Linked DNA regions of Anolis sagrei. The protein of the gene in region 2 interacts with the protein of the main gene of each other region in a biochemical or structural test. Links are inferred from orthologs where the notes say so. Each region holds a gene or a part of one and is shown on either strand. Other genes may lie near its edges.

The links.
Region 1: the proteins of ERBB4 (region 2) and NRG1 form a complex in vitro, tested with the Homo sapiens proteins (2 studies listed by BioGRID and IntAct, with this or other methods). The link is inferred for Anolis sagrei from reciprocal best matches to the Homo sapiens genes ERBB4 and NRG1.
Region 3: the proteins of ERBB4 (region 2) and RASA1 form a complex in vitro, tested with the Homo sapiens proteins (2 studies listed by BioGRID and IntAct, with this or other methods). The link is inferred for Anolis sagrei from reciprocal best matches to the Homo sapiens genes ERBB4 and RASA1.

Annotation. Positions count from the first base shown.
Region 1 is NC_090022.1:157,783,115-157,786,862, forward strand, and holds the start of NRG1 (pro-neuregulin-1, membrane-bound isoform), read right to left. Parts: upstream 2,869-3,748; 5' UTR 2,730-2,868; coding exon 2,045-2,729; intron 1-2,044. UniProt on the Homo sapiens protein: Direct ligand for ERBB3 and ERBB4 tyrosine kinase receptors. Concomitantly recruits ERBB1 and ERBB2 coreceptors, resulting in ligand-stimulated tyrosine phosphorylation and activation of the ERBB receptors.
Region 2 is NC_090021.1:172,653,237-172,656,984, reverse strand, and holds the start of ERBB4 (receptor tyrosine-protein kinase erbB-4), read left to right. Parts: upstream 1-1,144; 5' UTR 1,145-1,669; coding exon 1,670-1,736; intron 1,737-3,748. UniProt on the Homo sapiens protein: Tyrosine-protein kinase that plays an essential role as cell surface receptor for neuregulins and EGF family members and regulates development of the heart, the central nervous system and the mammary gland, gene transcription, cell proliferation, differentiation, migration and apoptosis.
Region 3 is NC_090022.1:258,200,525-258,204,272, forward strand, and holds the start of RASA1 (ras GTPase-activating protein 1), read right to left. Parts: upstream 2,774-3,748; 5' UTR 2,632-2,773; coding exon 2,198-2,631; intron 1-2,197. UniProt on the Homo sapiens protein: Inhibitory regulator of the Ras-cyclic AMP pathway. Stimulates the GTPase of normal but not oncogenic Ras p21; this stimulation may be further increased in the presence of NCK1.

The sequences.
Region 1 (3,748 bases), on a different chromosome or scaffold from region 2:
CAAAACTTGGCTCAAAACGCTTTTGCAAAGTTTCCCACCCTTGTGACCCAACTTGTCTCTGAAAGAAGGAGAAATCTACACCCACCTGCAACTCGAGAGAGAGCAAAAGAGAGATGGAGGAAGGAGGAAAAATCCAATGCACAGCACAAGCATTAGGAGGAGAAGGAAAGAAGCTTGGAGAAGGAGATGAAGATGGTCACGGCAGAAAGGAAACCTGACCTACAGAAAGAAAGGGGACTTGAGTCATGAAAGACTGTAAGAACTGTTCAATAGTTCAATAGTGGAACTCTCTGCCTCATGGTGTGGCGGAAGCTCCTTCCTTTGAGGCTTTTAAACAGAGGCTGGAAGGGTTGCCGTGAGTTTTTTGGGATGTATGACCATATTCCAGAAGCATTCTCTCCTGATGTTTTGCCCACATTTATAGCAGGCATCCTTGGAGGTTGTGAGGTCTGTTGGAAACTAGGCAAGCAGGTTTATATATCTGTGGAACCTCTGTTTGAGGCAAGTGTGAATATTGCAATTACCAGCTTGATTAGCATTGAACAGCCTTGTAGCTTCAAAGCCTGGCTGCTTCTTGCATGGGGGAATCCTTTGTTGGATTTGTTGGAATCCTTAATTGGGTGGTGTAAGCTGTCCCTGATTGTTTCCTGTCTGGAATTCCCTGGTTTTTGAGTGTTGGACTTGAGTCGTAGACAGAAAGAGTCCCACAGAAATAAAGGGGACCTGAGTCATGGAAAGGAAAGGGACCTGAGTAGTAGAAAGAAATGGAGGCTGACCCACAGAAAGAAAGGGAACCACCCATAGAAAGAAATGAGACCTGAGTCATAGAAAGAAAGGCAACCTGACTCATAGAAATAAAGAGGACCTGAGTAGTAGGAAGAAAGGGGACCTGACCGACGGAAAGAAAGGGAACCTGACACATAGAAAGAAAGTGGACCTGAATCATGGAAATAAAAGCTACCTGAGTAGTAGAAAGAAATAGGGGCTTACCCACAGAAAGAAAGGGAACCTGACCCATAGAAAGAAAGGGGACCTGAGTCATATAAATAAAGAGGACCTGAGTAGTAGAAATAAATGGGGGCTGAACCACAGAAAGAAAGGGAACCTGACCCATAGAAATAAAAGGGACCTGAGTAGTAGAAAGAAAGGGGACTTGACCCACTGAAAGAAATAGGATCCGAGTTGTAGAAAGAAAGGGGGAGTGAACCATAGAAAGAAAGAGGACCTGACCCATAGAAATAAAGAGCACCTGTGTAGTAGGAAGAAAGTGGACCCGAGTCATAGAAAGAAAGGGAATCTGACCCATAGAAAGAAAGGGGACCTGAGTAATAGAAAGAAAGGGGACCTGACCGACGGAAAGAAAGGGAACCTGACACATAGAAAGAAAGTGGACCTGAATCATGGAAATAAAAGCTACCTGAGTAGTAGAAAGAAATAGGGGCTTACCCACAGAAAGAAAGGGAACCTGACCCATAGAAAGAAAGGGGACCTGAGTCATATAAATAAAGAGGACCTGAGTAATAGAAAGAAATGGGGGCTGACCCACAGAAATAAATAGCATCTGAGTAGTAGGAAGAAAGGGGACTTGACCCACTGAAAGAAATGGGATCTGAGTTGTAGAAAGAAATGGGGACTGAATCATAGAAAGAAAGGGGGCCTGACCCACTGAAAAAAATGGGATCTGAGTTACAGAATGAAAGGGGCACTGAATCATAGAAAGAAAGGGGGGGGGGCTGTCGTAGAAAGAAAGGAGACCTGACCCATAGAAAAAAGGGGGGGTTGAGTCCTGGAGAGAAAGAGGACCTGACCCATAGCAAAAAAAAAAAAAAAAAAAAAAGGAGATCTGAGTCATAAAAGGAGACCCGACCCATCGAAAGGCATGGCACTAGCAGAACTTCAACTCCTCCCTTTCCCCGCCTCCCTTTAAGGCACCGCTGGATGGGCTGCTGTGGGCCAGCCAAGCCAGGGATGCTACTTCTCCTTCTTCGTCTCTCTCTCTCTCTCTCTCGATGGCGATGTCAGTTTCGGGGAGGCGCCGACTTACCACATTCCCTGGTGCACAGGACCCTGCTGACCTCCTTCCTGAGACTCCTGCCCGTCTCCAGGGGCGGGGAAGACGCCTGGAAGAGCAGCGGCGGTGGCGGCGAGGAAAGCGAAGAGCCCGTGCCGTTGAGGCTGCTGGTGCTGGTGCTGCTACTCCCCAAGGGCTCCATGAAGAAGATGTAGCGGCTCTCTCGGCGGAGGCGGCTGCTCCTGCTGCTATTCCCGCAGGCGGAGGAGGGAGAGGAGGAGGAGGAGGGGACGGAGCCCCTCGGGGCCAGCAGCACCCACAGCAGCGCGTCCTTCCGCAGCCCGCCGCTCTTGGCCGGCCACACCTGGAGCACGCGCACCCGAGCCACTAACGGCGGCGGCGAGGAAGGAGGAGGGAAGGAGGAGGAAGAGGCGGGCAGGAGAGGGAGCTGCGGGCTGGGAGCTGGCGAAGGCGGGAGGACGGTCCCTGAGAAGGAGGAGCTGGAGGAGGAGGAGGCGGTGGGTTGCGCGAGGAGGAGGAGGAGGAAGGAGAACGGCGCGCGCGTCGCTTCTTCCTCAAGCACCTTACCCTCGACCACCACCGAGGCGCGCTGGGCCAGCGACTCCACCGAGGAGGAGGAGGAAGAGGAGCACTGAGGGTTCACCACTGCCCCAAACAGCACGAGGAGGAGGAGAAGGAAGAGGAGGAAGCACAGCATGGCTCTCCCTGCTCGGCCTGCCTGGCTGACGGGGAATGCAAGCGAGGGGAAGGTGCCTCGCTTCTTCGCCGCCGCTCACTGTGGAAGAAGGATGGAGGCGCGAGGAGTGTCCAGACTGAAGGGCGCGAGCGCCTCCAGCCATGTGTCTCCCTTCCCAGGCTCTGCTCCCCCCCCCCCTTCAACGCAGCCAATCAGAGGGGGAGGGGGTGCGCGTGACCTCTCTCCCCAGGCACGCGACGCACTCTATCTCGCGCCTCACCTGCGCGGAGGGGTGGGGGGAGGGAGAAAGAGAGAGAGAGGTGGCATCAACACACACGCGCAGATGTAAACACCACAGTGAGCGCGAGCGCGCTCTCCCTCCCGCAGGGGTGTGTCAAGAAGAGCAGGTATCCTCAAACTGTGGGCCTCCAAATCCCAGAAGCCCTAACAAGCTTGTTGAATGGACAGGATAGAATCATAGATTTGGAACAGACCTCATGGGCCAATATGACAACCAGTCCCCTACTAACCAACCACAACTGTAAATTGCAACGCTAATTTCATATAGGAACATAGATTGGAGAAGTAGGGCAATCTAGTAGGACAAACTTGGGTCCTATTCTCACAATCTTTTACCAATGACCATTGGGATGGGAGTTCTGAAACTTGAAATCCAAGAAATATCTAGATGGCCAAAGATTTCCAACTTCACCAGATGTGATGGACCATTATTCCTATCAGCATAGATTGAGGTAAAAAAAACCCCCAACGGTTGATGATTATAGAATCATAGAGTTGGAAGAGGCCTCATGGGCCATCCAGTCCACCCCCCTGCCAAGAAGCTTGAAAATCGCATTCAAAGCACCTCTGACAGGTGGCCATCCAGCCTCTGTTTAAGTAAATACATTAAATAGATGTAATCATAGAATCACAGAGTAGGAAGAGACCTCGTGGGCCATCCAGTCCAACCCCCTGCCAAGAAGCAGGAATATTGCATTCAAAGCACCCTCGACAGGTGGCCATCCAGCCTCTGTTTAAGT
Region 2 (3,748 bases):
TTTAAGCCGCTCCTCATAGGGCTTGTTCTCAGACCCTTGATCATTTTAGTCACCCTCCAGCTTGTCAATATCTCTCTTCAATTGTGGTGCCCAGAATTGGACACAATATTCCAGGTGTGGTCTAACCAAAGCAGAATAGAGGGGTAGCATGACTTCCCTGGACCTAGACACTATGCTCCTATTGATGCAGGCCAAAATCCCATTGGCTTTTTTTGCTGCCAAATCACATTGTTGGCTCATGTTTAACTTGTTGTCCACAAGGACTCCATGATGCAAGAGTCTGAAGGAAGACACCATAAGACTAGGATTCAAGTCCCTGTTCAGACACGGAAGTCTACTGGATGCCCTTGGATAGCTCACAAAGTCCCAGTCTTTTGAAAGCTAAACATGCCCAGCTCTTTAAGCCGCCCCTCATAGGGATTGTTCTCAGACCCTTGATCATTTTAGTCGCCCTCCTCTGGACACATTCCAGTTTGTCGATATCTCTCTTGAATTGTGATGCCTAGAATAGGACACAATATTCCAGGTGTGGTCTAACCAAGGCGGAATAGAGGGAGAGCATGACTTCCCTAGATCTAGACACTATAGTCCTATTTCCTTTCCATCTCGAAAAGGAAAGCGCTGTGGTTCTCCAGAAGTTGGGATCGAAGGCAGCAAATAGCAATCAGCAGAAGGAGGAAGGGATGATGCTCTCGAAAGGGAATGGTAGGTCCTGGAGAGAGGAGTGCGTTTATCTCTCCGAAGGAGAAAGTTGGCGATGGAATATGGTCGAATCCCTGGGAAGGAAGGCGGAGGGAAGCTTGGGTCTGAAGGGACCTGAGCCAGCATCAGGCGCTTGGGTGGATTCCTTCCTTTCGGCTGCTGCTGCATTTCTCCCCCTTCCAAAGGCAATGCATCCCGAACTGATTCCAGTCCACAGATTTCTCCTCAAAATCATTCCAACACCTAAGAAAAAGCCAGCCTTGCAAACGAGCCTCTCCCTCCTCCTCTTCTTCTTCTTCCCTTTCTGGGAACCCGCGCGCCACAGCTCGAGCGCGCGCCCGTGACAGGTGTTTCCCGGGTTGCAAACAGAGAGGAGGGGGAGGAGCGGAGTGGGCGGGGCTTACTCTTTGAAGAAGCCCAGAGGGGCGGGGCTACGGCTGTTGGGTCCCTCCCCCTCCTCAGCTGTGTTGGATTTTGGGGAGGGGAGAGAGCGCGCGCGAGAGAGAAAGAGTGTGTGTGTGTTTGTGAGAGAGAGAAAGAGGGGAACGCGGCTGGTTGATCTGCGCCGCCGCCGCCGCCGGAGTGGTTGGGAGCCCATGGCATTGGCGCTGGGAGGCTTTCCCCGCTCCGTCAGCCGCGGGAGGAGGCAGCAGGGGCAAGCGACGACGCGACAACTCTCCTCAGCTCGGGGGGCCTCTTGGGTGAGAAGTGCGCGAGGCGGAGGCGCGCGCCTCGAACTGCGGCGGCAACTTTGGGGAGTTCTTTCCGGGCGTGGGAAAGAGGGCACCTGGGCGCCTGAGGGGAGCTGCTGCGTCCTCGCGCTGCCGCCCGCTTGGAACATGTAACTGGGGAAGCGCGAGAGGAGGCACGCGCACACATACAATCCAGAGGGAGAGAAAGAGAGGGGTCTTGCTGCTACTGCTCCTTCGCCGTCTCCTTCTTCTTCTTCTTCTTATTCTCTCCGAAGATGAAGCTGTCCCTTCTCCTCCTCGGCTTCCTCGCCGTCGCCGGGACCCTCAGCGCCGCTCAGTCAGGTGCGTCCCATCCGTATAGCGGTTTTCTTCTCTCCTTGGCGTCCCTTTCCCCCCAAAGTTGCCTCCTTCGAGGGCTTTGACCTGCGGCTCGCGCGTGGCCCGGCTTGGTCTCCCCCTCCCCTCCCTTGATTATGTTTCCCCAACTCAGCAAGACTCTCTTTCCAACCCGATGATTGAGATGCTGTACAGCTGTGTCCTTATAAGATCCACCTGGAGCTGGATTGTAAGGCAGTGTAGAATCAGATCCACCCAATATCAAAAGCGGATATTGGGGATTGTCTGCCTTGATATTCTAGGTTATGTGGAAGGTCCCTGAGTGGCTTGGGACTAGGACGTTTGAAGAGCCCCCTCTTCTCATATGAACATTCTCCATCACCTTTGAGGGCAGAATGTATATTGCCATAATGCAATTAGTAGGGGATACTGGCTATACTTTTCTCAGGCTTTTGGGAAGAATATAAACTCATTTGAAAGATGCTGCTGGACAATAAATGGGGATTGTCTGCCTTGATATTCTGGGTTATATGGCGATGTGGAAGGGCCTTGAATGGCTTGGGACTAAGACGTTTGAAGAACCCCCTCTTCTCATATGGACATTATCCATCACTGGGTTGTTGTAGGTTTTTTCGGGATGTATGGCCATGGTCTAGAGGCATTCTCTCCTGACGTTTCGCCTGCACTTTGGCAAGCATCCTCAGAGGTAGTGAGATATTCTCCATCACCTTTGAGGCCAGAATGTATATTGCCACAATGCAATTAGTAGGGATACTGGCTATACTTTTCTCAAGCTTATAAACTCATTTGAAATATGCTGCCGGACAATAAATGGATCTGGGGATTATCTGCCTTGATATTTTGGGTTCTATGGCTGTGTGGAAAGAGGCACCAGAGAGCCCAGTTTAAAGCAAATCTTATGCGTTATCTGCCTTGATATTGGGTTGTTGTAGGTTTTTTGGGCTATATGGTCATGTCCTAGAGGCATTCTTTCCTGACGTTTCGCCTGCATCTATGGCAAGCATCCCCAGAGGTAGTTCTAGTGGCATTCTCTCCTGACGTTTCGCCTGCATCTATGGCAAGCATCCTCACTACCTCTGAGGATGCTTGCCATAGATGCAGGCGAAACGTCAGGAGAGAATGCCTCTTTCCACACAGCCATAGAACCCAAAATATCAAGGCAGATAATCCCCAGATCTATTTATTGTCCAGCAGCATATTTCAAATGAGTTTATATTCTATTGTCGAAGGCTTTCATGGCCGGAATCACTGGGTTGTTGTAGGTTTTTTCGGGCTATATGGCCATCAGAGGTAGTTCTAGAGGCATTCTCTCCTGACGTTTCACCTGCATCTATGGCAAGCATCCTCAGAGGTAGTGAGGATGCTTGCCATAGATGCAGGCGAAACGTCAGGAGAGAATGCCTCTCGAACATGGCCATATAGCCCGAAAAAACCTACAACAACCCAGTGATTCCCACCATGAAAGCCTTCGACAATAGAATATAAACTCATTTGAAATATGCTGCTGGACAATAAATGGATCTGGGGATTATCTGCCTTGATATTTTGGGCTCTATGGCTGTGTGGAAAGGGCCCCAGAGAGCCCAGTTTAAAACAAATATTGTGGGTTATCTGCCTTAATATTATATGGCCCCATGTGCTCAGCCTCCGGCCCTTCCACACAGCCATATAACCCAAAATATCAAGGCAGATAATCCCCAATATCTGCTTTGAACTGTGTGATCTGAGGTCCCTTCCACGCAGTTGTATAAAATTCCAAAATTATCTGCTATGAACCGGGTTATATGGCAGTAGGACTCAGATACTCCAGTACAAAGTAGATATTGTGGGTTTTTCTACCTTGGGCCCTTCCACACAGTCTTGTATCCCAGAATATCAAGGCAGCACATCCCACAATCTCTGCTTTGAGCTGCGTGATCTGAGTCCACAGTCAGATGATGTGGGATTTCCTGTTTTGATATTCTGGGATAGAGGGCTGCGTGGAAAGGCCCTGAGTC
Region 3 (3,748 bases), on a different chromosome or scaffold from region 2:
ACACATGGGGAGTGATGGAGGCAGAGAAAAACCTATATGGCTTTTTAAAAAAAAAGTAGACCTTATACTGCACATTAGAATTAAAGATGGGCCCTCAATGCAAATGAATTGAAGGCCATGAGGCTACAAGAATCAGTACTACCATTGGAGAAAGGTGTTAAGTAAATGGAAAGGAAGGTTCTGGACCCTTTTGGCAGATGACAACAGAGCTTCCCAATTTGCCCCTTTGCTTTGATGGAAATAACCAGGGGAAGGGACTAAATTGAGTACCACCCACTTTAATAATTTTTTAAGATTCGGCTGAAGAAAGAGGCAGGAGCAAACAAAATTTGAAGGAGTTGCCCAGAGTTTGATACAGGCTAGTTCATTTATTAATATTTAAATGTGTGTATTAAACATATAAATACAGTTAAACAACTGTTAAAAACATAGCACCTACTCCCACATTACAGACAGATGCTTGTATACGTTTGTATACAGAAAGAGATACATGTGTATACACACACATACACGCAGGGCCCTTCCACACAGCCCTATATCCCAGAATATCAGCGCAGAAAATTCCACAATCTCTGCTTTGAGCTGGGTTCTTTGAGTCCTCCATGCTTACCCAGTGTTTTAAACTTTTAATCCCTGCAACTTGCCCTGCCCAATTATTGTGATTTTATATTGTTTGGTGCGTTTATTTATATTGCTTTGTATTTTATTTTTATATTTGTTATATATTTGCTCTGCTTGGCCTCATGCAAGCCACCCTGAGTCTCCCTTAGACAGAGACTGGATGGCAGTCTGGTGGAGGTGGTTTATTATTTATTTATTTGTGGTATTTGTATACTACCCTTCTCAACAGGGTAGTTCACAAGGGTTTGATTGTGCTTATTATTTATTATTATGTGGGATTTCCTGCCTTGATATTCTGGGATATAGGGCTGTGTGGAAGGGCCCACAGATATACAAACACAAGAGAAACAATCTTACTTACTTAGGAGATCCCTCGTTGGACGAGTAAGATAGTCTTCCATAATAAGTATTCTTGTGGATCCGTAGGTGGCTGTGGAGCCCTATTCTTGATCTGCATGTTCTCCTGCACTGAGGGCATTGGTTTCCAGGTGGAAGGTGGTCTCAGTCAGGGTTGGCTTGACGCACCTTCCTCTTGGCACGTTTCTCTCTTTCACCCTCCATTTGTGCCTCTTCAAATTCTGCAGCACTGCTGGTCACAGCTGACCTCCAGCTGGAGTGCTCAAGGGCCGGGGCTTCCCAGTTTTCTGTGTCTATGCCAGAATTTTAAAGGTTGGCTTTGAGCCCATCTTTAAATCTCTTTTCCTGTCCACCAACATTCCGTTTTCTGTTCTTGAGTTCGGAGTAGAGCAACTGCTTTGGGAGACAGTGGTCGGGCATCCAGACAAAGTGGCCGATCCAGCGGAGTTGATGGCAGAGGACCATCGCTTCAATGCTGGTTGTCTTTGCTTCTTCCAGCATGATGACGTTTATTTGCCTGTCTTTCCAAGACATTTGCAGTATTTTCTGCAGGTAGTGCTGATGGAATCGTTCCAGGAGTTGCATGTGACATCTGTAGACAGTCCACGTTTTGCAGGCATATAGCAGGGTTGGGAAGACAATAGCTTTATAAACAAGCACCTTGGTATCCCTACAGATGTCCTAGTCCTCAAACACTCTCTGCTTCATATTTGTATACTATCCTTCTCAACAGGGTGGTTCACAAGGGTTTGATTGTGCTTATTATTTATTACAGGGTTAGTCAAAATGCATAGGCCAATAAGCCATTCAATTGAATGGCTTATTGGCCTATGCATTTTGACTAACCCTGTATTATGTGGGATTTCCTGCCTTGATATTCTGGGATATAGGGCTGTGTGGAAGAGCCCACAGATATACAAACACAAGAGAGACAATCAATACACACAGGCACACATGCTATTCCCTTTGACTCAGGCATGAGCAAGCTCGGGCCCTCCAGGTGTTTTGGACTTCAACTCCCACCATTCCTCACAGCCTCAGGCCCTTTCCTTTTCCCCCTCAGCCGCTTAAGCGGCTGAGGGGGAAAAGGAAGGGGCCTGAGGCTGTGAGGAATGGTGGGAGTTGAAGTCCAAAACACCTGGAGGGCCCGAGCTTGCCCCTGCCTGCTGACCTGTTCGAGGGCCTACTATTCCTCCTCCTCCTCCTCCTCCATACTCACTGGTTGGTGGGGGGCGCGTTGAGCGGGATGGCGACCTCCTCCTCCTCGTACTCGGGCCCGTCCAGCGAGTCGCCCTCGTCCACGGTGCTCAGGCCCCCGGCCGGAAGCGGCGGCTGAGGTGGCGGCGGCAGAGGAGGGAAGCCCCCCGAAGCCGAGGCCACGCTTCCTCCGCCCTCGGGAAGCTGAAGCGGCAGCGCCGGCGAGGCCTTGGCCATCTCCTCAGGGTCGGCAGGCCTCGGGTGGAGCACGGGAGAGACGCCAGAAGGGCAGGTGTCGCCGGAAAGAACCAAAGCAGCGGCGGCGGCGGGAGGAGAGCCTTTGCTACGGGCGGCGGCGGAGGTGGCGGTGGTGGCCGGAGGGCAGCCGTGTCCGCCGGGCTCCCCGGCCGCTCCCGAGCCGCCCTCTTCGCCTCCAGCCTCGGCCGCCGCCATCATGCTGCTCCGGCAAGGCCCCGCCCCTAATGGCGCAGCGCGTGCCCGGTGGGAGGGGCCAAAGCAGAATCGGTGAACGAATGATGAGGAGGGCTAGAGCGAGGATTTTATGAACGATTGAGTTGCGGCGGTTACAACAAACGGGGCGTGGCCAAATAAACCACGCCCCTTCCCCTCTTTGAGGCGGTGAATGGGAACAATGGGGAGCCGCTGTGCGCGTGCGTGCGCTTGTGTGTGTGTGTGCGCGCGCGCTCGCTCGCGGAGGGAGGGGTAGAGAGGAGGTAAGAGGCATTCGCTGCGGACGCCCCCTGCTTTCCCTTGTGTAGCCGCCGCCCTCGTCCTTTCTGCGCATGCGCTTGCCGCTTGGGAAGGCTGTTCCGAGAGTAGACGGAGGGGCGTGGCCTCAGCCGGACTACAGCTGTTCTCGCAGAAGGATTCTCCCCCTCCGATCTGGAAGCTGTTTTAGCTGCAAAGTGTTTTTCCTAATACAATAAAGGCTTAACAAAGCCAGCATCGTGACTTTCTTATATATACAGATATATTCTAATATTATAATATAATATATTGTATATACATATATTTATAATATTATAAGGTAATGCAATATAATAATAAGATATTATAATTCTATATTTATATTAGATGTAATATTACTAATAATACTACAATATAATGGGGCCGACCAAGGGCAAGATGGATGGATGGCATCCTTGAAGTGACTGGACTGACCTTGAAGGAGCTGGGGGTGGTGATGGCTGACAGGGAGATCTGGCGTGGGCTGGTCCATGAGGTCACGAAGAGTCGGAGACAACTGAACGAATGAACAACAACAATAATGGTATAATACTATATAGTAATATTTAATACTGATATTGTACTATGCTAATAACAAAATATATATACAATAAATTATATTATCTGCTCTGAGTCCCCTTCGGCGTGAGAAGGGCGTCATATAAATGTCGTAAATAAATAAATATTGACATAATAATAATAATAAAACTTTATTTATATCCCGCTACCATCTCCCAAGGGGGCCCCCGGTGGCGCAGTGGGTTAAAGCACTGAGCTGCTGAGCTTGTTGACCAAAAGGTCGCAGGTTCAATTCCAGGGAGCAGCG